Drosophila melanogaster: one gene and its partner. The protein of the gene in region 1 interacts with the protein of each later gene in a pairwise test. Each region holds a gene or a part of one and is shown in the gene's direction. Other genes may lie near its edges.

Evidence for each region.
Region 2: the proteins of Trm7-32 (region 1) and CG9014 interact in a two-hybrid assay, tested with the Drosophila melanogaster proteins (one large-scale study listed by BioGRID).

What each region holds. Positions count from the first base shown.
Region 1 is NT_033777.3:17,038,508-17,050,121, forward strand, and holds Trm7-32 (tRNA methyltransferase 7-32), read left to right. Parts: upstream 1-2,174; 5' UTR 2,175-2,339; coding exon 2,340-2,460; intron 2,461-2,515; coding exon 2,516-3,198; intron 3,199-3,255; coding exon 3,256-3,360; 3' UTR 3,361-3,388; downstream 3,389-11,614. Other genes in the region: CG18213 (uncharacterized protein), read right to left, coding at 1-48, 116-463, 522-687, 753-779, 840-999, 1,067-1,177, 1,231-1,366, 1,499-1,593; bdwf (bedwarfed), read right to left, coding at 3,531-4,106, 4,163-4,555; Patr-1 (protein associated with topo II related - 1), read left to right, coding at 5,143-5,181, 5,352-6,165, 6,396-7,924, 8,042-8,287, 8,344-8,622.
Region 2 is NT_033779.5:13,717,724-13,729,636, reverse strand, and holds CG9014 (uncharacterized protein), read left to right. Parts: upstream 1-5,994; 5' UTR 5,995-6,105; intron 6,106-6,152; exon of another isoform or gene 6,153-6,161; 5' UTR 6,162-6,199; coding exon 6,200-6,568; intron 6,569-6,626; coding exon 6,627-7,244; 3' UTR 7,245-7,476; downstream 7,477-11,913.

The sequences.
Region 1 (11,614 bases):
GCATGCTCCAGTATAAAGGTCCAAGCATCTCGGGGATTGCTTAATATTCTGAAATGGGGAAAAGAAAGTCAATTTTGATATATAAGCATGTGTTTAAAATCTACTCGTTAGTTACCCGCCATCCATCGCATAATCTACTATAGCCGGAAGAATATATTCCCCTGCTTCGCAAAACAACCGAAACAGCATGTTAGCCTCAAGCATTGGGATGAGTCCAATTTTATATCCATAGCACTCGTACTGGTGGACTTCTGCATCTGATTTCATACACGATTTTGAGCAATAGGATCTATAACGACAGTTATCACAGGTGTATAGCTGTTGCTGATGCACTCCACACAACTCGCAGTTCAGAAATGGAGCACTAAACTGAAAGTACACAGGATTCTCCACAAGAACAATTTCTCCTTTAGGCACATCGCATGAAGCGAAAACTCCGCCAGATTTCTCAATGGATTTTTCGCTATAAGGGAACATATGAATTTACTAAATGTATTGTACATCAAACATTCTTTACGTACGAATAATCACAAGCTTGGCTGGCAAACGGAATTTTCCGAGTAAGCTTAAAACCCTTAAAAGGCACAAAGTTCTCGGTTTGAACTTTCTTGCAAAACTCAACATTTATTCTAGCTTGGTTGATTCTCTCTTCATGTTGCTCTATAAGAGCTAGAAAAGGACTAACTTCTAGAAAATATAATAAAATAATTAAAATTAAAAAGAAAATTCAAAACAACGCTAGTAATACTCACCACTTCGATCGGCTAGTGTCCCATCTTCTAAAATGAAAGAAAAACAGCGATTTATAGAAGATCATTACAACATATTATGCAAATTACCAATGAGGCCTTTTACAACTGAAAGTTTATCTTTCGATGCTTCATACTCCCGATTCACAAAAAGGCATATACAGTGAAGTATCTGCGAGATTATCGTTCCCTCCGCTGTCTTGAGAGCTGGATCCAAAGACTCGTAATATAGTAAATCATTGCATGCGGTCTAGAGCAAAAAAAAAGGGTTGTGAACATATGATGTAGATGTGTATTCAGCTGTGAAGATGACATACCGTATTCTGGTTATTTTTTATGTAGAGCACACTTCTGGCCATAATCGCATCCACGCATGTAGGGGAGGCGCTGGGTGCGCGGCATATAATTTCGTCCAGACTCTGCAAAGTCTGTGTTCTGGATTACAATAGGGTTATATATCATATCAATAATGTGGATATACCATCTTCAACACTGTAGGACTTTTCATATTCATACACTTCTTGGAAATGTTAAGGCAACCTTCAGCAACTTCAGAAAAATCGAGAAAAACTTTGTCGGTTGTTTTGCGCAGAATCTTCAAGAACAGCTCGCATTCTCTGAAATTGTAAATTATTATTATTCTATAATTATCTATCTATGAGCATTGCAGGATCCTATCGCAGGACAACTAGGATTTCGCAATATTGCAAAACCTGCGGGATCTCAGGACAAGTGGGCCTGTTACTCACATCAGGTTACGTGGACACATGGCCTCGGACATCGTGATATATTCAGAGGCCTCGGGGCGAGGCTCCGACCCCATATACAATGGTATTCGGTGCATAATTACCACTTAATTTTGAAAAAACCTCATCAAAGCGTGTTTTGAAGATCTCGCGGTAAGAATGTGACCGCATTGCGCCGCCACAAAAATCGACAACTATTTGATATAATATTTTAGTGTTACCAGAAGTAAGCAATCCAATTTAGTTATCGGCTTATAAAATATTATATAATAGATAAAATATAATAATAATAAATAATAAGTAGAATATTCCGGTGTCTTTGGTCCAAATCAACTGAATATCTTTATTCTGTACATTTCGAGATAACCAAAATATGTTACTTTTATTATGCACTCATTTTTTACACCTTTATTACCAGCAATTTATCCTATCGATGGAAAAATTCAAATTAAAATTTTTAAATAAATTTTTATATAATGAATCCATTTTATTTTCTTATTTTGAAACAATTGAACATAGAGCCCAACCGAACCTTGGGCTCCCAGCATTATTGCTTTGTGCTTATGTTTTCTTCGTAAAGCCTCCGTTCGCCGCGGAGCCACTATGCTGAAAAGGAACCAGTTGGAACTGACGAACCACTCGCTCGCATCCCTTCTTTGTCGATATATCGATAGGCTGGCCAATCGTCTAACTTACAAAACATAAATAACAACTACAATCTCTTACTCTTTGGCTAGTTTCTGCACATGACACCATATTTTAACCATTCTTTTTACTGTTCACGTATCTCAAAAAGAACAGTTATATTGTAGAGCATCCCTGATATTTCATATATTTATTTACAATGGGGAAAACATCAAAGGACAAACGAGATATCTATTACCGACAAGCCAAAGACGAAGGCTGGAGGGCCAGGAGTGCCTTCAAGTTGCTCCACGTGGACGAAGCCTACGGAATTCTAAATGGTTAGATCATTGAAACTACTTAGGAACAAAATATAACACACTTTTCCATATATAGGTGTTCAGCGGGCAGTCGATCTGTGTGCTGCTCCTGGCAGCTGGTCCCAGGTGCTCTCTCGGAAACTCTACGATACCTGCGAAACGGACGATGAAAAGTCCGCTGTTAAGATCATAGCCGTTGATCTGCAGGCCATGGCCCCGATCCGTGGAATACTCCAGCTCCAGGGAGATATCACAAAGCAGTCGACCGCCGAAGCAATCATCGGTCACTTTGGTGGAAATGAAAAAGCCCAGCTGGTGGTCTGCGATGGAGCCCCCGATGTCACCGGGGTCCATGAAATGGACGAGTACATGCAGCACCAGTTACTTGTGGCTGCTCTCAGCATTGCCACCTGTGTGCTGGAAACTGGCGGAACTTTTGTGGCCAAGATTTTTAAGGGAAATGCCACATCGCTATTGAGCTCCCAGATGCAGATATTTTTCAAAAAATTCGACATCTACAAGCCACCGAGTTCGCGTCCTTCGAGCATTGAAGCTTTTGTGGTTTGCTCCGATTTTTGCCTTCCCGAGGGCTACATTCCTCAAGTGATTAACCCTGCTCGCGATGATATACGGCTACTGGCACAGAAAACAGGGTCGGAAGTAAACCGTCGTCTAGTTCCTTTTATAGCCTGTGGAGACTTAAATGGGTTGAGTGATCCCGAAGAGGGCAAGACTTCCTCCTCAGATGAATCCAAATCAGTAAGTGATGTGCCTAATACTTTGCTTTGTTTTTTTATTCAACCATCTTTCCCACAGAATTTAGAGTATGTTTACGATGCTGTTATGGACGACGCATCTTATCCCCTGGAATTTAAAGAGATTCTAAAGCAAGTCTATGATGAACAACGCCATATTATCTAAATATTTATAAAATAAAACCAAAAAAATTAAATTAAATTTGTATATTAAGTGGGCTTGGGCCAAGCTAAAAGAAATGTGATAAAATTAATCAAAATATTGAATAACTTAGATTATTTAAAGATTAGGTTATTAAGACTACCAAGATATTACTTAATTTTGTGCATATCCCGTTATTTGAGCGACAGCTTTTTTTGCTCGATTTCCAATAGTTTCTTTTTCAGTTCTATTTTCTCAGCCATTAACTGTTCAATTGCCAAGTGATGTCGCTTGTCCTCGTACAGCTTCTGCTTGTACAGGACAAAAAATTCATTGAGTGCAAGTTGAACGCTGTTGGCGGTATCGTGCACCATTTCTAGGTTATTGCTAATCTTGTCAAGCAGTGTGGTCTCCTCCTCCGCCAGTCGACTGCTGGCCAATGCGGCCCGTTTGTTAGATTGCAGGTAAAGCGGGTCAATGTCCGTTTTGTTCTCCTCCGGTTCGTAAACGTACTCGGCGGAAGTCTGAAGGGCGCCACCATCTTCTTCCGGGACCACATCCTCTACTTCGTCCACATCAAATTCCGTGGTGGAATTCTCATGCATTTCATCGTCGGAGACCTTCATAATAATCTGACTTACATCCTCGTTTAATCTACACAGTGTGGCTATTGTTTCCTCCGACGAAGTAAGACTGGTGCCAAAAGGCATGTTCTGCATCTCATTCTTTTCCACCTTTCTCAGGATAAACCTCTTCCAGTCCTTTAAGGCCTACAAACAAATCAACTTATAATGCAAGCGGTTAGAAAAAAAGTAAGTTAGAATACCCTTCTCCAGGTGGCTATATCTTTTCGCGGCGGACCGTGGCTATTAAGTTCGGATGACAGTTCCTCCCACAGCGACTCCAGATTGCCCCGTGTTTCCCACGTCGGATTCTGAAGCAGACGCGGATGTTTCTTCACGAATTCTAACAATATCAGCTCTTGCGTTGAGTTGCGCGGCTTGGCTTTGTTCCGGTCGATGGCGATGGTGGTCTGCGGCTGGAATTTGTACTTGGAGTTCCGGTTGAGTCCCGATGTGGGGTGCATCCTGTTCATGTGCTTGCTTAGATTCGTGGTGGTCGTCTTGTAAGAGAGCTTCGCCTTGCAGATATTACACACCGCAAACGTGTCGTCCACCGCCCGGAAAAAGCACCAGATCTCGCTCGTTTTCCGCTTCATTTCGACTAAGTTGTTTTGGAAAAGGAAACAGGCTCGTAGTTCCGTCCAAAGCAATAGTTCAAGAACTAGTAATTTAGGGATGAGCTTGCGGGCGCTGATTTCAAGTTTCGAACTAGTTCAAAATATCGAATACATTGAAGGAGTGCAAATGCACCTTAATTAGGGCAGATTTTTCATTGATCAGTAAAATCTAATGTTGTTGACTTATTAACCAGTCGTGGTAAGTCCCAAACTGAATAAATAAATATGCAACATACGAAATTTGGCAGTGGTTAAATCATCATTTTTTTCTAACATCACTGTAGCAAAATGCAAACTTATAAATTTAGACAAATCTTCAGTCGTTCACCTATTGAAAAAAAACGTATGAAAAAAATATATATTTTAAATTTGCATGTTAATTCCAACATTTGTAATATGATAATATTTATATGCGAGCGAAATTGATGTATTGTGGCGATAGTCAGAAAACCATCGACGTCAGACTATCGATAGTACCATCGATATTTTGACAGCTATACTGCTGAGGTGACAACTTGTCACTGACAAGTCATGATAATTTTTTGTAAAGCAATAGATTTATCGCCATGGATGACTCGTTTTTCGGCTTTGACACGAATCTACCGGTAAGCAGCGGTCCCGACATTGCGGCTGCAATATCCGGGATAGCGGGCCGCACAGGGGTCGGCAAATGCCCAACGCACACTTTTCACTCGGCAAATAAGGGGGCATCGAAGGCCACCGGGGGCAGAAAAAGTAGGAATGTCTAATTTACTTGCTTCAATTGTTTCTCCAGGACGAAGATGGTGGCGATGGACGCATCGTCGAGGCGGAATACGATGCCCTCAATGACGAAACCTTTGGATCCGCTATAAATGGCGACTGGGAGGAAGCCCATGAGACGATGGTACGCCTGGGCGGGAATGGCGAAAGGGTGCGGAAGCGACCCGCGGAATCTAGTGGAAATACGGATTTTGCCGATCAGGGAAATGGTGCCTTCCTGCGACACGCTAATCCGCTATCATCGGCGCCCTCTTCAAGCGGCTCCACTCCGGCCCCTTTGAATGCCCCCTTCCGACAGTCTCGTCACATAGGGGACTCGGACTTGGAGCTAAACATTTCCTCCATGAAGTTGGACGACATGGACCTGTCCTCTTTCACCACTGATAGCGAAGCCGGTGGGCTGAGCAACCGCATTAAGCTGGACTCCGGGGTCTGGGGATCACAGCCGTTTCCCAACAACCAACATTTGTTCCGCGAGCCTATGCGCAGCGCCTTCAAGCCACAGCAGCAGCAACATCAGCAGCACCAACCACAACAAATGAAGCCACCGCAGGAAGCGAATGCCAACTTTGCACTGAATCCACAGCCTTTTCCAAAAATTACAACTCTCGAGGATATAGAGCGCAATATGATCATTCAGCAGGCCATTCCGAAACAACAGCAGCAGAGCCAGCAACAGGCGGAACGCAAAATGTTTGATGATTTTAGTCTGGGTAACAGGCAGCAGGTGCCTACACCAACCATGTTGCAGCAACAGATGTTGCAGCAGCAGCATCATCAGAAACAACAGTCGCAGCAGCAGCCGCCACAACAAGCGCAGCACAAGGGTAATTATATATTAAAACTAAAAAGTATTGATGCATACAAAAACAGGCCTCAGTATTTAAAAAGAAAACATGTCCAACAAAAAGTATAATTCCTAAAAATATTTATTTCTTACGAATCTATTTTTGGGGACAATTTTTAAGACAGATTTAACCATTTAAGGAACAAACTTCAAGTCCCTGATAGATTTCTGCGACATATGAAAATAACACCATTTAACAATTCATTGCAGTACCCCCTGGCTTCTTGGGCACGCCGCACACCTCTCCACCGAGGCCAAATTTGGGTTTCCCCGGACCCGAGCTACTGCCCACGCCATCGTCGCAGCAACAACTAAACGGTATTGGTGGCAACCGAGTGCCGCCCGGATTTATTTACCCGCAAGGTCTGCCCGGGAATATTCCGCAATTGCCCCAGCATCCTCTAATGCAGCAGCACATGCCGCACAACTTTCCACTGCCCGGCGGCAACCAGCGACCTCTACCCAATCCACAAGCTCTGCCCACGGCCCTGAACAATTTCGCGATGCATCCAAGCTTCAATGCGATGCGCGCCGCTGGAATCCATCCAGGGGCTTTTATGCAACCTCCCCATCCGCACCAGATGCTGCCACCGCGAATGCCGCCGCACCCGCTGCAAGCTGCCACAAGTCTATTAGGTCAGCAGCCACCGAATTCCATGTATAACATGTTCAACATGCGACTAGTGCAAGAGATCCAGCAAAACCATCCGCTGCTTCAACAGGCTGCTGTTGTACGCCAAATGCAACAGAGCAGAGCAGGATCCGTGGCCAGCGATCGTCAGAGATCGCAGGCGCAACAGCAGCAACAAGGACGACGTCCAGATGGTACAGGAAATTACCCGCTGGAAGAGTACGATGAATATGCCAACCTAATGAGCACGCGCGACAAGCACTGGCTAATCGGAATCCAGCTTTCGCAGCTGAATACGGACACGCCGTATATCGACGACTATTACTACACGGTGTTCAGGGAGCGCAAGGCCCAACAGAACGGGCAAATGCGCAACAGTCAGGCGCACAAGGACAACCAGTTGAATCATCCGCTTACTCAGCCACGCGGCCATGCGCAGCTTATTCTCGTACAGTTGGGCAACAAGAATGGTACTCGCAATGGACACGGACGTGAGCGACGCAACTCGGAGAACACCAACAGCACGTCAGGCAACACGAACAATGGATCAGGTGGTAACAACAACAACCTGACAGGCTATATATTCTCACCACTGAAGTTCGAGAACTCACTGGGAAAGCTACAGTACGGAAGTGTGACAGCTCCGCGAAAAATTATCGATGCTGACATTATGAGTGGTGAATCAAATGCCGCTGCTGAAGCCAACGCAACTTCTTCATCAAAAAGCTCGACTCCGCTGCCCACCTCCGCGAGCCATGATGTAAATCCCAGTAGCATGCGGAAGTCGCGACACATTTTGCTTCTGATTGAAACACTGTATCGCTATCTGCTGAAGTTGGAGGATTTGGAAAGCCCAGAAGTGATGGCCACCATTGAGCTGAAAAAGAAAAAGGAAGCCGAACGGATCGCAGCCCTTGAGCAGCTGGAAATGGCCAATAAAACGCCCGAAGAACGTGCTGCTGAAGCCGCCAATCCGCAAACCATGAATCCGCAACTAAAGAACAAGTTCAACTATGAGGTAGAGACGAAAGCTGCGTTGGTCAATAAATTAAAGGCAGGTCTGGCCTTCGACAAGGTTATCGCCATGATGAATGTGCGCAAGGGAAAGGTGTGTACTTTTTCTTATACTAATTTTAACAAGTGCAACCAAATAGAATTCGATTTATGTTCTAGTGCTATACGCATGAAACTCACTATTTTATTTAAATCAATCTTTCCTTTGCAGATACTTATTAGACGCATAATGCCCTTTATTGCGGATCAAAGCATTCGCTGGGTCGTGTGGAGCGGCGTCTTCTGTTCCCTACAAACAGTGGTGAAAAAGGACAAGGACGACGTTGAAGGCGTCTTGTACGCTCTTTACCCAGAGTTTAAAAAACACGTTAACAAAGCTACTTTCGAACTCCTAGTGAGCATTTCATCTGCTATTACGCTGAATGACAAGAAACTTGCTGGAATTTTTTGCAGTCGCGTAAGTTATCCTCAGTATTAAGTAATAGATACGCGTACTAATTATTAAATTGGCAGTTTGGAATCCTTTCGCTGGTTGCCCTGATACTTCGCGCCGAGGAAATCTACGTCTCGCGAACTGACGCAACTCTTAGCGAGGAGAACAGGCAAAAGTGGCGAGAATTTCTGGCACAGGTTGCATCCTGCCTCAATCGCACTATTCAAAACCAGACCATCTCGGCAGCCATTGAGTCGGATGCAATTCAGCCACTTATGGACCACTTTGAACGGTTTAAAGATCTTAAACTGGATGCACTCTTAGCATTAATAACTGAAGCCAGGCATCAAATTGATTAGGTTGCTTTGACGGATTTTCATTTAACTTGATTGAAGCGTTTCAAATAATTGTGAAATTATATAGCCGAGTTCACTTTGCTTTACTCAATTACGCATATGTTTGTATAGAATATGTATCCAAAACTTACATATGTACGATCGTTTTTACATTTACGCATACTACACAAAAATATTGATACAGGGTATAAAAATCTCATACTGAAATTGAGAAAGTACTCGACTGTCAATAAATTTTGATAATAGTTTGTTAGAAACGTTCTTTTATCCAAAATTGTGTGCACTGTACAAGAAAGGTAGAGAGAGGAAATCATGTTTTATAAATATAATATCGAATGGTAGGTTTTGCTCATTGTACATACTTATATCATTTTATATTCGATAAGGAGTACTTTTCCGGCATTTTCTGTAGAGATTTATAAAGAATAATTCACCCCACAAATTATTCTTTTTTTTTTTTTGTCATCGAATTAACAACTGGGCTCTCCTATATCTTGTAATCACGATTGTAAAAGGAATATCATAAATACGTTTTAAAATTTAAAAGCACCGATTTAATGCGCGATCCATGCATACTCATTTAAATGTGCATCCTTAAGTATCTGCTTATTTTCTGGTATTTGTAAATATCGGTTTAATGAAATTTTACTATACTACCTTTTGGGTTTCATTGAATCAAATTTGTGCAAGACCCATTAAATATAGTCGAGACATTCAGCATAAATGTGTACTAAATAATTAGCATTGTGACAGGTGCAGCCGTATTTATTATAACAAAATGATCAAAATTGTGATACATTTTGACTTTTAAACATAAACGAAGTTCCGATGATCGGAAAGAATTAGTTTAACACACAAATACAAATTTGAAATTAGAAAACAGCAATTTTCACAAAACTTCTGTAACGCAACGGATAGATATTTGTTGTAAAAATCCGTTGTGGAGCATTTTAATTTTATTTCGTTTTTAATTGTATCTACACCATCATTCAATGTTGTTTAATTCATTTTTTTTATTGAAATTCATGTTTTGTATCTGAAAAAAATTCTACTCGACTGCAAACGTCTTGCAAATACTTTAAAACTATGCTTTTTTTTAGCAAACAAGAGTCAAAATACGATAGCTGTCTAAGATTGCAAACACATATACAATAATTGTAGTTTAATTTGTATTTATCACATACAAACACTTCAAACCTTTTCCTATAAATATGTTCGCTGATTCAAAAGTAAATTTTTTTAAATTGATATAATTTCCGAGAGTATAATAAATAAAAAATACCATTTCACAGAACACACCGAAACTAAAACACCTTATTTTTTTGGGGGGGTTTTGAAAAAGATGATATTTAGTTTAGTAAGCAGTCTGATAAAAACACATTAGTTGTCCATTTCAATGATATTTTATTTATGGATTTTTTTAGCTTTCCTTCAAATTTATTGATTTGCTTCCAATTGGTGTTTACGCTTGTGCTATTAAACGGTTTTTCTTCTATAATAATATATTAATCATTTGATTTCTATAAACAATTGTGCCGGGGGGGGGGGGGGGTGCATCATTAATGGCGAACGTGTTTTGTGTCTGTCTGTTTTTGTTTTTGGCGCAGAATCAAGCGTCGAAGTGTCGGCAGTTGCCTGTCCGTAAGGGACATTTTGTTGTGCGGAGGCGCCAAAGTGCGTAACAAGTGGCGGCGGCGCGCTCGGGAATTGTTGCAAATTTCTGAGTCGGCGACGCCAACCACTGGCGACGGTCACCAAGACGACAACTTGTCGGCAGCAGTCCGCCCAGCGCGAAGGGATGCGAAGCCCACTCTCCCGATCCCACCCCACACTGGCAGAGAGCATGCGGTACACTTGGAGAAATAATGTGACTTCAGGGTTAATTTTTACTCTGCAATTCGAATGAGCTCTTAAGTTATTAGGTTTTGCAGGAAAATTTTGATATAATAAAATAAAATAAATTATTCATTAAGCTGTTATGCATTTATTCTTTAAATTCACAAAAAAATATTAAGCAAAATTACGTTTATTTATATATAATAAATTATAATAAGTTCCTCAACTAATATCCTTGCACGCCTAAAATATGTCGATTTCGCATAACCTCCCCAATTTCTCCGAGTGCATCCAAAGGCTAGACTTAGACAGACGATTGTGGCGACCAGTCGCCCGTCGTTGCTTCTTCGGCGACGGCGACAATGGCACGACGACAGGCAGGAGGACAGGACTCTGGCTCTGCCGTGGAGCGGAGCAGACAGTGCCGCAGTTCTGGGCAGGACCAGGACTCAGCGGATGCGGATACGCAGAACTTTGATTTGCGAACGGGCCAAGTGTGCGCCACTGGGCGCCGCTATTATTGCCATTGCCACCAATTGGCGCGCCAAACGCCGCTGTTCTCACAATTAGATGCGAAAATAGCCGGCGCGTCGATGATGACGAGTTATTGTCGCGTCTATCTGGTCGTTGTTTTTGTTGACAACCCCACAATTGGTTCGTTGGCGGCAGGAGGGGATCGTCTTCAATACGCTTCTACCAGGGAACCCATTAATGTAATGTGCTGATTTAACTGATCCTGACATACACACAGCCAATGTACTATGAATCTGTTGTTGGGGCGAAGATAGACTTTGATCTGGACAACGTGAGGTATGAGTAATATGCGAGGCCTATCTTGGTCTATTATTTAATTTAGATTGAATTAGATACATTGAATAAATATCGCACGAAATCATCATTTTATTTGAGAGCTAACAAGATCAGCGACCTACGGTGCGACCTCGTTAAATTGGATTTAACCACTTAATTACCGGTTAATGAGCGTCGGTGTCTTGATTTCTCCTTTGACTGGCCATTAGGTTGTGCAAACTTTCCCATCGCAATCGGAGTGTCTAGGGCTCGCTGTGCGGTTTAGGCCAACTTCGGCCGCCAGACGCCATCGTCGCCGTCGCCGGCAGCCAACATTTGAAAAACGAAATGGCGCGCAGATAGGTTTCAA
Region 2 (11,913 bases), on another chromosome or scaffold:
AGCGGATTGCTAACAATTTGTTCGACAAAATCTCGGCAGATCTCCGGACCGATTATGTTTTCCCCATCACAATAAGTGAGCATGTTTGCCATCAGGCAACATATTGCATAAAATTGTCAAATAGTACAAGCTTTATTTATATGGTATTTAATGATTCTATGCTCATATATCAATCTAGTACTTCCTAAATATATTGTTCTCTATTTTATTAGGGCAATTTTTTCATCTGCATATCTGTTGACAGACGTCCAGCAACCATCGAGAATGGCAAACATGTGTAACATTTTAATAATCATAAAAGCAAACACCGAAATCCAAAGTGCCAACAAAGGCGCCCACAACACAATCTAGTTAAATAAGAATAAACGTTGCCACATATTAAAAGCGCCCGGCCAACTTCACGTTTGTCGATAAGGACGACTTTGTCGAGCGGAAGGACTTCGTCGATTCCCTGGCCAGAAGTAAGAAGTAAGTCATTGTTATGCATGGCGCCAACTGCCAACTGCGAAAAAGCCAAAGCTAAAGCCAAGTCGAGGGTTCTGATTTCCATAAACAGCAACAACAAGTGCCGCATGTGTCTGCTACAAGCGGGAGGAAAAATATTAAAGATTCTGGAAACCATAATCTTATTGACGTGATAGGATTACACTTTGCTAAGTGAATTAATAAAGTATCCTGTCAAGGGGGTTGGGGCGGAGGGGGGATGTGGCCAACTACTTAGGGCGACCCACTCAATATGATATGCACACAATATTATGGTCGAAAAACGGTCGAACGGGGCAGCAGCATAATAATATAATAATAAGTGCGGCAGTGGAACGTGGCCTGATTCCTGACGAAGGATGAGCGAGGAAAAACTTTCGCAGCTCTTTCAACTTTCAACCAAGTTGCCTACTCAACGTTATTAACATAATTTATCACGAAGGCGACACCAGCGTCCAATAAGGTAACACTTTTGCTACCCTCCTCCGCCGCAGAGAACTTTTGCAAAAGTTTTCGAGACCAACATATTCATTACATAATCATTATGGCCGCGGGCGAGTTTCTTTTCCGTCAACGATTTTATTAGCAAACTGACGAAATAATTATGTCCTTCGAAGCAATGATTAATCATTGTTCGATTTGCCTGCCGATGCCGAGTCCTTTTTTGCTTGTGTTGTATAAAAAAAGAAACTCAAAAAGAGCGAAAATAAATTGGCATTTATTGTGATGACTTGCTGTGCTTTTGGGCGACAGGCCGCAATTTTGATGACTATACATCAAAATGTCCAACAGTTGGAGAGCTCCAGCTGATTGGACCCCAGGGAGCACTTAATTTGGCCTGATTTCGGTTTTTTTGGGCTTCAATTTTGGCATGGAAAAATCGGGCTTGATTTGGAATGGCTGTGTTTTAATAGAGTGGGCCATTGAGGTTTAGAAGTCCATTAAATGGATTGTGGCACTGGTTTCGAAAATAATAAATACCACTGATTTCATGGACATTTTAAATGTGGTAGTTAAAATATAAATAAAGGCTTAAAACAACATGATTGCACTTAGCTGCATAGAATGTTTTGTTGTATATTTCGTGTTTCATGAAACTTTTAAGACTTTGACCACTTAATATTTATTGGGCTTCAAGTTTTTTGGTTGAGCCGAAAACTTTTCCGATTAATTCGGAAGTCTGATTGCAGTGACCTTGACTGAAAAGGGCTGCGAAATAATGTCGCAGACATTCCAGGACAGTTCACCCACAGAAAGCGCTTAGCCATTCGCCAATAATTCGAAAAGTTTTTTGGCCAGGCCAACTGGAAAGTGTGTTGGCCAAGTTCCTCGAGCCGTTGGCCATTAAAAAGTTGTGTACTCTCATTTCAATTGGCTGAATGCAGCAAAGTTGTTAAGAAAATTATAAACTATGTGCAAATTTGAGCTTCGCAGTGCGGGCAAAAGTGACTCGAATTGTTGCAAGTGTTGCACGCAAAAGTCCGAAGTAGGAATCCGGTCAGAAAGTTGCTCGTTTCAATTGTCATTATTTATTTCTGCACTTGCCAATAAACGCAAATTGCCAGCCAATTATATGGTTAGTTTTCAAGTAGGAATGTTTCCTGGCTAAAACTGGTTTGATTTGTGCCGTAAAAATAACCCCAATAATTTGGTTCGCATTTCTTGCATTTTGTTGTCGCCAGGTCGTAATTAATGCAAATTAGATATGGACCTGCGACGAAATGAGTTTTTCATCAAGTCTAACAACTTAATTAGCTCATAAAAATGACGCCCTCAAGCTGTTAACCCGCCTCCACGCCCCAAAAGCCTCCAAATATTACCGTGTTCCTGCGTGCGGCGGCCACTTAAGCGCGCCACAGATTGCCAATGCCCTCTATCTGCTCCCCAGACTCGTTTCCGTTTCCGGAAATGCCGTTCCAGCGCCCAGGTCGTAGGTCACGGCGTAGGCGCAAAGCTAATTAGTATTAAGTGCTCTTGCGGCACTCGAGGCCTTTACCTCGCCTTCGCCATCGTTTCCTCTCTCCGCCAACGTGCCCCATGTTGTGGTTGGTGCTCCACGGGCTCCATCGTTCCGCATTTTTGTTGTCGCCTCGGGTGTGGCAAAAAAATATTTTTGTGTGTGCGGTCAGTTGTTAAATTCCGGCAAAACGTTCGCAGCCAACATTTTGAAGCATTATGATTGTGGCTTAGATGCTCTTTTGTGTATAAAATCATTGTAAAATTATTTATAAATATTTTCATAGGATATTTTAATGGCCTAATTATTATATTTTTATATTATTAACAGTTCAAAAATTTACATACATTTTTTAAATGATTTAAAAGTATATTTCCAAACGAATATGTGAATAATTATATTAAAAATGTCAAGACCGAGAAGGCATTAATGCTATTAAGGTAGCAAGCAAGCCTTAAAGGACTTCTTTAGTAATAAGCAATGTCCTTTATTCTAGCTCTTTAATTTACATTTAATTGTAAATATAATGTTTATAAGTTGGGCTCTATGAAGTTCTTCACAAGTGAAAAGGCCATTGCCATTGGCAGGCTTGTATAAGCGATTTAGTAACGCTTGAGCGAGCAATGAAGTCAGAGCCAAGTCCACGATGTTTTCGGCTTTTTTGCCTAATTTGTGCCCTAATTCCTTGGGCCTGGAATAATGATGATGGCAATGAGATTTAGGTAAGAGTGCGAAAGAAACGAAAGTCCAGTGGGGGAGATATAGATTATATTTAGATATTTATCTACATTTCTGCATTACTATAACTATTACAATAAATTTCAACACATGCCGTACAAAACTCTGTTTAGTTAAATTAAAAAGAAACTTATTTATTCACTTTTCCCTTTGCTTTCACCCAACCATTTTCAAACTACGTTATTAATTTGCCCAGCCAAGTTTCTACCCCATCTCATCCGGAATTCCGGTGCACGTAGTCGCTTTACTTTAGTTCCACTCATTTCCGCTCCTCACATGACTTTATGCAATAACATCCAAATAAAATTATCTTATCAGCCACTGAAGCATCCTGCGTGTCCTGCGCGTGCTGAGTGTGGGCTAATTTTATTGCATAAAACTTGTGCTTATTGCGCTTCCTCCTCCCCCGGAAAATCCGCCACCTCCTTCGTCCAGCAGGAAAAATTGCACGTTCCGGTCATACGATGCGAACGTGACCGCTTGACCATAGAAGGACCAGGAGATTTGAAGCAACGCACTTGGGTTGTCCTGCCGGCGACGATGTCCTGTGACATGTCCCATTTCCATGTAATGGACATGGCTTTGGGGCACCACGAGCTGAATTACGGTAATTCATGGTAATTTTTTGTATCTTTCGGCGGTCGAAACACGGATGGCAATTTGCTTGTTGCTCCAGAAATGGATCCTAATGTCCAGGGCAAGAAGTCAGGGAGTCAGGGTTAACATGACTGCTAGTGTAGAGGTGAAAATTTATCAAAATTCTTCAGTGGATAACGTATATTTAAGCCGCTTTGCAGCTTCACCTCTTCTCAACGCCCCATCTTTAGTGATTAGTATAATTGATTTACCTACTTACAATTCATATAACCTAACTCATCCAATAAATTATACTTCAAGAATAAGGTAAATATGTTTAGAACATAATTACACTGCCAATCAACAATTTTGGAACTTAAGGCGAAGCGGGAAACATGTGAGCAGAATGCTACTTCGAGTCCGTCATTAATGATTATCTATCTGCAGAGTAGAGGGAATGTGGCATCAGGATGCTAAGGACTTGGGGACAATGAGGCACGTACTGATGTTGCAATGAAATGACAACGGCGCAAGAACAGCAAATATAAATGCAAATAAACATTGTGTGGCAAGCATTTGTGGCTCGTTACATGCTAACACAGAGCCACTCACGTAATGACTGTTTACACGTTGCTAACCTTATTAGTTGGGTTTCGTACATAAATACACTCGGAAAAACCAAACATGATCTTCTTGCACTTAAAAAAAACAGCACTCAAATGTACATATATATTTTATTAACAAAAAAAAAGGCACTTCTATAATATATAAAACATCATAAGCTATTATCCAAATCTTTCATCAGAGTGTGTGCATCCTCTAGGAGCCTTCGAATCATCAATGCTGATTTTCACAAATGCGGTCAGATCAGTTGGAAAAACATTTTTGTGGCGAGCTGTGTATATGCTTACGTACAAACTTATTAAATTTTCCTGCTTGAGTGGTTCGTTTTGTGTTTGCTGGATGATGGGTTTTATCGGAGCCAAGTCAAATGAAAATTGTTGATTATTTTCTAATGCGCTCCATCAGCTCAGAAATGTGAAATATTGCTATTGAACGTCGCAAAGCCAATGGATTGATAAAACGAACACCACACCCCACACGGACTTAATTATTTTGCACAAAATGCGATTTATTAAAGAATATTTCACACCAGCCGGAGTGGGGAATCGCATATCAATTGTGATTTATTCAACTCATCAATTCAAGCATTTCGATTACTGTTTTTCAAGATAAAAACGAAATGAAAGAATGAGTCTTGAATATTATGGCAAACTGAAAAGGCTTGAGCAGGAATTTAAAGTAAACTAAAATGTCAGACTGACAGTTGCATTCGGAGATAAGCATTTGGTAGCACTAGACTGAAATTGCAATCCAACGAAAAGGATTCGATGCAGTAAAGTTGTCACAAACAAAATGCACAAAAAGGCACACAAAAGCAAATGTCATTCTTAGGCAAAACATGAAATTTAATATCCAAGCGAATGACGCTTCCAAGTGAAATTAAAAACCGAATTTCCAGTCACACAATGCCCATTCTATTATACACACGTATGTATATACATTCGAGTTTGCATAGAGCAGTTGATATAGTGTAAATATTTTGACATGGCAATATGTTGTCACAATCATGCCTGTGTGTCGTCTGATGAGTGTTTGTTCGAAATTCGGCCATTGTGGAGCTGAAGATGGAAAGTTTATTTGTTTGCCCATGTCCCAGCATTTGCTGTTAATTTGTTAAAATTTCACTTTATAAATAAAATTCAACTCCTCGCTTCGCTTCGCATCGCTTCTCTGTGCAGGCTAAGTTAAAACGTGGTCGCCGAAGGTTGGCTGGACGTTTGGCATTATTCCGGGTTGTCGTACCATAAGTTTTCCAATTTGCATAACTTCCGCAGCAGTTGGGACTATAAATATGCAAAGGGTTTTACGACCGCACTATATGCAAGTGCCTCAAGAAAACGTTTTCTCAGACCCATTCGCCCCCACCCCACTTGCTCTTGGCCCACTTGGATGGATGACTCCCAGTGTTCTGTTGGTTGTTTGGCTGGTTTCAGTTGCGCTTGAATTGAAATTGAAGTGTCCTAAATGGTAGAAGGCTCAATGAGAGCTGTTTGCATAACAGATGATCGAAAGGCCTAGTATTTCTTAGCTTAAGAAAAGGATTTTTATTTACAAAAATAAACTATATATACTATTTATATAACTATGCATAACTATACACATAGTTGGCTTTTAATCAGATGCCAGCTCGGACACAACTCAGCGCCGACGTAAAAACTAACTTTTTGATCGAAATATTGTAAAAATCGAGTTTCGGATATAGGTATAAGTACATATCGAACTCAGTGGTAAGTGGATGAGAGTGGCTCCATGCCAAAAAAAAATAACATCTCAGATTCTCCAGCGACATAAACTTCGGTATAGAAATCAAACCATTTCGTCATGGGCTTTGATCTAAACTGCATTGTGGGCCACGTTGACGAGGAGCTCATCTGTCCAATTTGCACAGATGTCCTGGAGGAGCCGGTCCAGTCATCGGAATGCGAGCACGCCTTCTGTCGCGCCTGCATCGACAAGTGGATGATCCAGAAACAGATTTGCCCGGTGGACCGCTCCGGGCTACTGACCTCACATCTGGTGCCCGTTTCGCGCCTAATGCGCAACATGCTATCCCGCCTAAAGATCAAGTGCACCTTCTCGCAAAGCGGTTGTGCCCAAATGCTGGCCCTCGAGGAGTTCCGGACCCATGTCGCCGCCTGCGAGCATAATCCCAAGGTGGTTGTCGAGTGCAGCAAGGGGTGCGGAATGAAGGTGAACATTCTGGGAATAACTTGAACTGCTTAAGATAGCTATAATATTCCCGCTAAAGGTACCCAAGGACGAGATGTCGCGCCACAACTGTGTGTTCGAACTGCGCGAGCTGGTGGAGAAACTGGCGAAGGAGGTTTCCGATCTGAAGCAGAAGCAATCCGATATGGAGGAGCAGAGCTCCAGCCAGCGCCGAGAGATGGAGCTGTTCCAGTACTATATCGCAGCACTGCGATCGACCAATCCCATGCTGCGCAACATTGGCGAACAACTGGACCGCTTCTCACTGATGCAGTGGGGCCATGGACTCCCTCTGGCCAACATCCATACGTGGGGCAGTCTGATCTCCACGCCGGACAATCCCATGCACCTGATGGTGCGCGACGTTTTGCGTGAAAGCGGCTGTCCGATGCATATGCTCAATATGCTGGTTGAACGTTGCCACGAGGATCGCTGGCCCGAAGGTCTGATGACGTTGGACGATCGCCGCGAGAACCAACATCTCATGAGTCGGTATGTCACCCGATTGGTGCCCGGTCTGGTCATTGGCAAACCGTGCGTGGTTGTTCTGGGCGGCGAAAACACCCACATGCCGGAGAATCTGCGCCCCATCCTCGGACTGGTCATGATCTTCGTCGACGGTGTGAATGAGGTAATATTTGGCGAAGAGATTATTTAAGCCAATGATGGGTCACCACATCCTGCTTGTATCCTCCACATCTAAATTCATTTTGGTAACACAACACAAAAGCGCAACTGGCTGCCCGTTTTCCACGTCCTTTGTTTTGGAATGATGGTCATGTTGCTTCACTGTCTTAAATTACACGATCGTACTTCAAAAGTCGTCAAAATGAAAAATATAAATATGTTTTATCAATTCGAGTTACGTAAATAGAAAACAAACAAATGGTCGTGTTATTTTTTAATGTCGGACCTTATGAATAATCTGAGGGCTCCCAATACTATCGAAGAGTTTTTATGAAACGTATGTAATTTTGAAATTTTTAAGGTTTTGTTAAACTTCCCTCATCGATTGGTTCAGTGCAGCAACACTCACAGTTTAAAGTTGTCGTTGTAGCTGACAGATATTCTTCTCGGCAATTACGCGGCAATTATAGAAGCTCAGTGAACACTCGGGCGTATGCGTAATGTTGGAGCGAAATTAAATAAACGCATAAGCTGGGATTGAGGTTGCTCCTTCTGTGGGTGGGCGGTTGGTTGGGCTTGCGGTGGGTGCATCAAGTAAAACTTATAATGGAAATGGTAAAAGTTTGGCTGTGCTCGGTTCGCGGCAGTTGGCGACACCATTTGGAAAAGTTTTACAAATTGTACAAAATTTAATTTCCCAGCTGAGATAAATTTTCGGGACCATTACGATTTTAGCCTGCAATTGAAAACGAGATCTCTGATCAAATGAAAATTAATGGACTGCAAGCAGCTTACTTCGATGCGATGAGCTCACATTTGGGCAAATATTGTCCATTGAATGAAGTATACACCGAATTAGTGTCAAATCAAACACGACTCTTTGAACTAATTAAATGGTCCGGTACACACAAAGGCCATGTACGGCTAACTTGATTAAGCCAAGACGACGACGCAGTACAAAGGACAACTAACGAACTAACCACCGAATGCTGCAGCTAATACAATGATAGATGCCGGCACCTGGGAGCCCTTTAACTGGCTGCCTCAGGGCTTGCTGCAAAAACCGAAGCCTAATGCAACAAAAGCCAAAACTTAATTAATATTTACATGGGTCCTCCTTCGCCAGAGGAAGTAAGCTAAAGGCTCAGTGAAAGCTGATGTTGTGGCCTTATCTTGTCATGTTTGCATATGTGCAGTCGTCGCTCTTCCTGGTTCCTCCCCGCTCCTGAAATCCAGTGGCGATGGTGATGGTGCTCCGAGTCTGAAATGGAAGGTGGTTCTCCTGCATGGCTGCTAGAAATCAATTCGCATTGTTAACCCATGATTGGATATTATTGATTCAATTTGCAGCCAACCGACCAAAACATGTTTTATGCATGCCCATGCCCATGCCCTCGTCCCCCGCCAAACTTGCCCCTTTTTGTCTGCTGGTGCATGTATGGCGATAATGTCCTTCGGTATCGATAATGGTCCACATGCACGCTCGCACACTAACACCAACACCCGCGCCGACACACACACACACTCGCATACGCATACGCACTTGTAGTTGGCCAAACTTCAAGCTCAACTCAGTTTAATTTATGCATTTGCTGCACTCGGCTGGTAGCTACAGTGGGCCCAAATTGTTCATTATCAAATTTGGGCATCCCAAGCTAGTAAATAAAATAAATATTTTTAAAAAGCGGTTTTTTATTCATTTCTATGATACTAAAATGTTGTAAATATTTTGTAAAGATTTTGGGTCAATCATCCACAGGTAAAAATACGTTCAGCAATTAGGCATGTTAATTTATTTGTAAAGCATAGCTCGCTTTTCGAATTATATATACATATCTTTTGCTTTGTTTATTTAATTACCATAAATATTTCGACATATTTTGTACGAATCAATACTTTTTAAAGCGAATCTGCTCCTTTAGCTTTGATTCCACTGTAAACGCTTATCAGAAGCATGGAGAGCAATAGATGTCACCATTTCTACACATCTTCAGCACTAACTTTTCCTTTATATAAGAGCTTTTGTAGTTGCAACGTATTATTTTTAGCATATGCTTGAGACCTCATTATCGAAGTAAATATATGGGAAGAACTCTTAAATCTTGAAAAGTCCCTTAATTTGTAGTATGATTACTATTTACGGCATCAGCATTACTTAAGATAAATATTACTATTAACTCTATTGCAAATGTATATGTTTATAACATGTTTCGTTAGAGGACTCTCAATATTTTATATCTGTATTTCAGACCCCTCGAAGAACTGAAATTTGTATAGGCCGAATGTTGTAAATCGCTGCCATATCAGTGGTAGTAAAGCTCGATAGCACAGTACTAATCATCCAAAGGTAAATCACCGAGGGCAGCACAAAGGAAAATGTGGCGAGAAAAATGTGCAACAGCGACGGCCTTCTTTGCCAAGGCTAAAAATGTGAATGGGCCAGCCCAACACAAAAACAGCGGCAAAACGCAAAACACAGTACGGCGGCAGTAAATTGGCGGCGATAAAATTGAAATCCGCTGGAAGCTGTGCTAACCGATTTGGCCCAGTCCTTGGACTTTGGACCACCTAGAGGTGCAAAAGGAAAAGCGAACAAGTCGGCGCGTTGAGTTGTGAAAACCGAACGGAAATAGCGGCCATAACTCGCCAGTTGGAGCCCAGAAAATAGCAATGGAAACGCCATTTGGTGGGATTTTTCTTTCCCAGGACGCTGTTGCCTGCACGAATTGATTTGTCCTTGTGGGAGGCAATATAGGGTAGCTTTGATTAGCGGAGATTGGCAAAGGTTTCAATAGCGCCGCATGATCGATTCACAGGGAGTTGGTCGGGATTAGCAACCATTGTGTGTACGAAAAACTAGTGTAAATGACTTTTCTGAACTTTTCTTAAGTATATGTTTTTATTAAGAACAGCTTTAAATGTTTTTAAATGTCAAGAATATAAATAGAAATATATAACGAGGTTTATTCCTTCTAAAGAAACGGAATACCCAACCAGTCTAGATCCACTTGTATATATCACCTGAACTGTCCAAAAACTGCTAAACGATTTATTAAATTTATGTATCTTTCCATGGACCAACATCAATTTTATTTTCTTTGCGGCGAGAATGTAATAAAAATGTAATGATATTTATTAAGTACTCATTTATTTGATTAACGGCGAAAAAGAATATTTTTATTCGAGTTGAAGAGTTTCTTGGGTGGAAAGGTGTAAGATTTGTTAGTTACATATACAATTGAACATGGGCTTTTTTTTTTCGTACCTGAATATCTTATTTTAATCATTTAGGTACGTCTTTTCATTCCCCATGCCAGTAATAATAATAATAAGTCTAAGAACTTGGCTGTGGATATCGCTTTTAACATGATTTTGTCATTTGGGTATATTTGCCGTTAACTTCAGTTCAGCAGCAATTTTCGCACTCAATGCAATCAGCTTGTTTTTCCTTCGGCTGATTGTTGCTAATGCGCTCTAAGTAGCAGTATGCCACATGCCACGCCCATGCAGTTGCCCGTAGTAATCAATTGCTCCAAGATGGTCCCGAAAAGCCGTTCAGTGCGCCATTGGGAAGGGCTCTGTTTCCTCTAACAACTCCTCTTTTTGTGCTGGCAATTTACTGCAATTGCATCGGAAGCAAAAAAAAAAAAAAGATAAACTTTCGTTTAATGCCCACACTTTTGGGTGTCGTTTCCAGCATGACACCAGCAGAAAGCAGAAAATGCTATCAGATTTCAGCTAAATGCTGATCCCTAAGGAGCAATAGACGACTACCGTGAGAGTGGAGATTGGTAGTATTTTGAGACGAAAGCCATTAACTCAATAGCTGAAGCCGAAACTATAATAGTCTTACCATTTTAACTATATGATTTAATGTGTATAATTGCTAAATAACTAAGCAGTTTCTTAATTAATTATCCATTAATTTTCTTAACTTTATTAAGGAGTAGATAGATATAAACTCATATGCACAAGTATTAAACAATGACCCGTTGGTCAACTTAAAAGGTCCTGGTCAACATCATTGGATTATCCTTTTTGGGCCCGAGCCACTATTATAACCAACAATCCTACTCTTCCTAATGCTCACTTTAGAGTGACGGTCAAGGGGAATTTGTGTCAGTTCCTGATAAAACTTTTCTAGCTTTAACTCAAACCAGTCTAACCACTCAAAAATGTTGAGAGCTCAGGGACAGTAGCTATTAGTTATTTTACTTTCCTGTTTAACTCAGTTGATGTTGTTGTTTATTTTATTCATGGCCAAAACTGCTTGCCGGGAATTTGGCTCTTTACGTATATGGATTCAACATCGGTCAGATGGCTCGTCCTTTCCAATCTGCCCCCGACTTGGTTTTAAGTTTCCGAGTTATGTTTATCTAAATGTTGCCAGCAGCCAACGCTGCGTATGTGGAATATTTTTTATTGTAGCTACCAGTCTGTTGAGGCCAGTTTTCAGTTGTGTGGTAGCTGCTTTTGACATTGACCAAGGGGTTGGAGGCCATTGGAGTGGTCGGGCATTTTAGTGTGTGTTCGCCAGATAAGCCAATTTATTCAGTTGTTCTTTTTAAATATGCGTGTTAATTTGGCTGTGAAAGTTGAGCATGGAATGAGTTCGTAGGTGGTTTGGGATGGAAAGTCAGAAGTAATTGTTCATGGTAGGAATTGGCTCATTCTCTTAGGTCATTCAAATGTTTTCACTC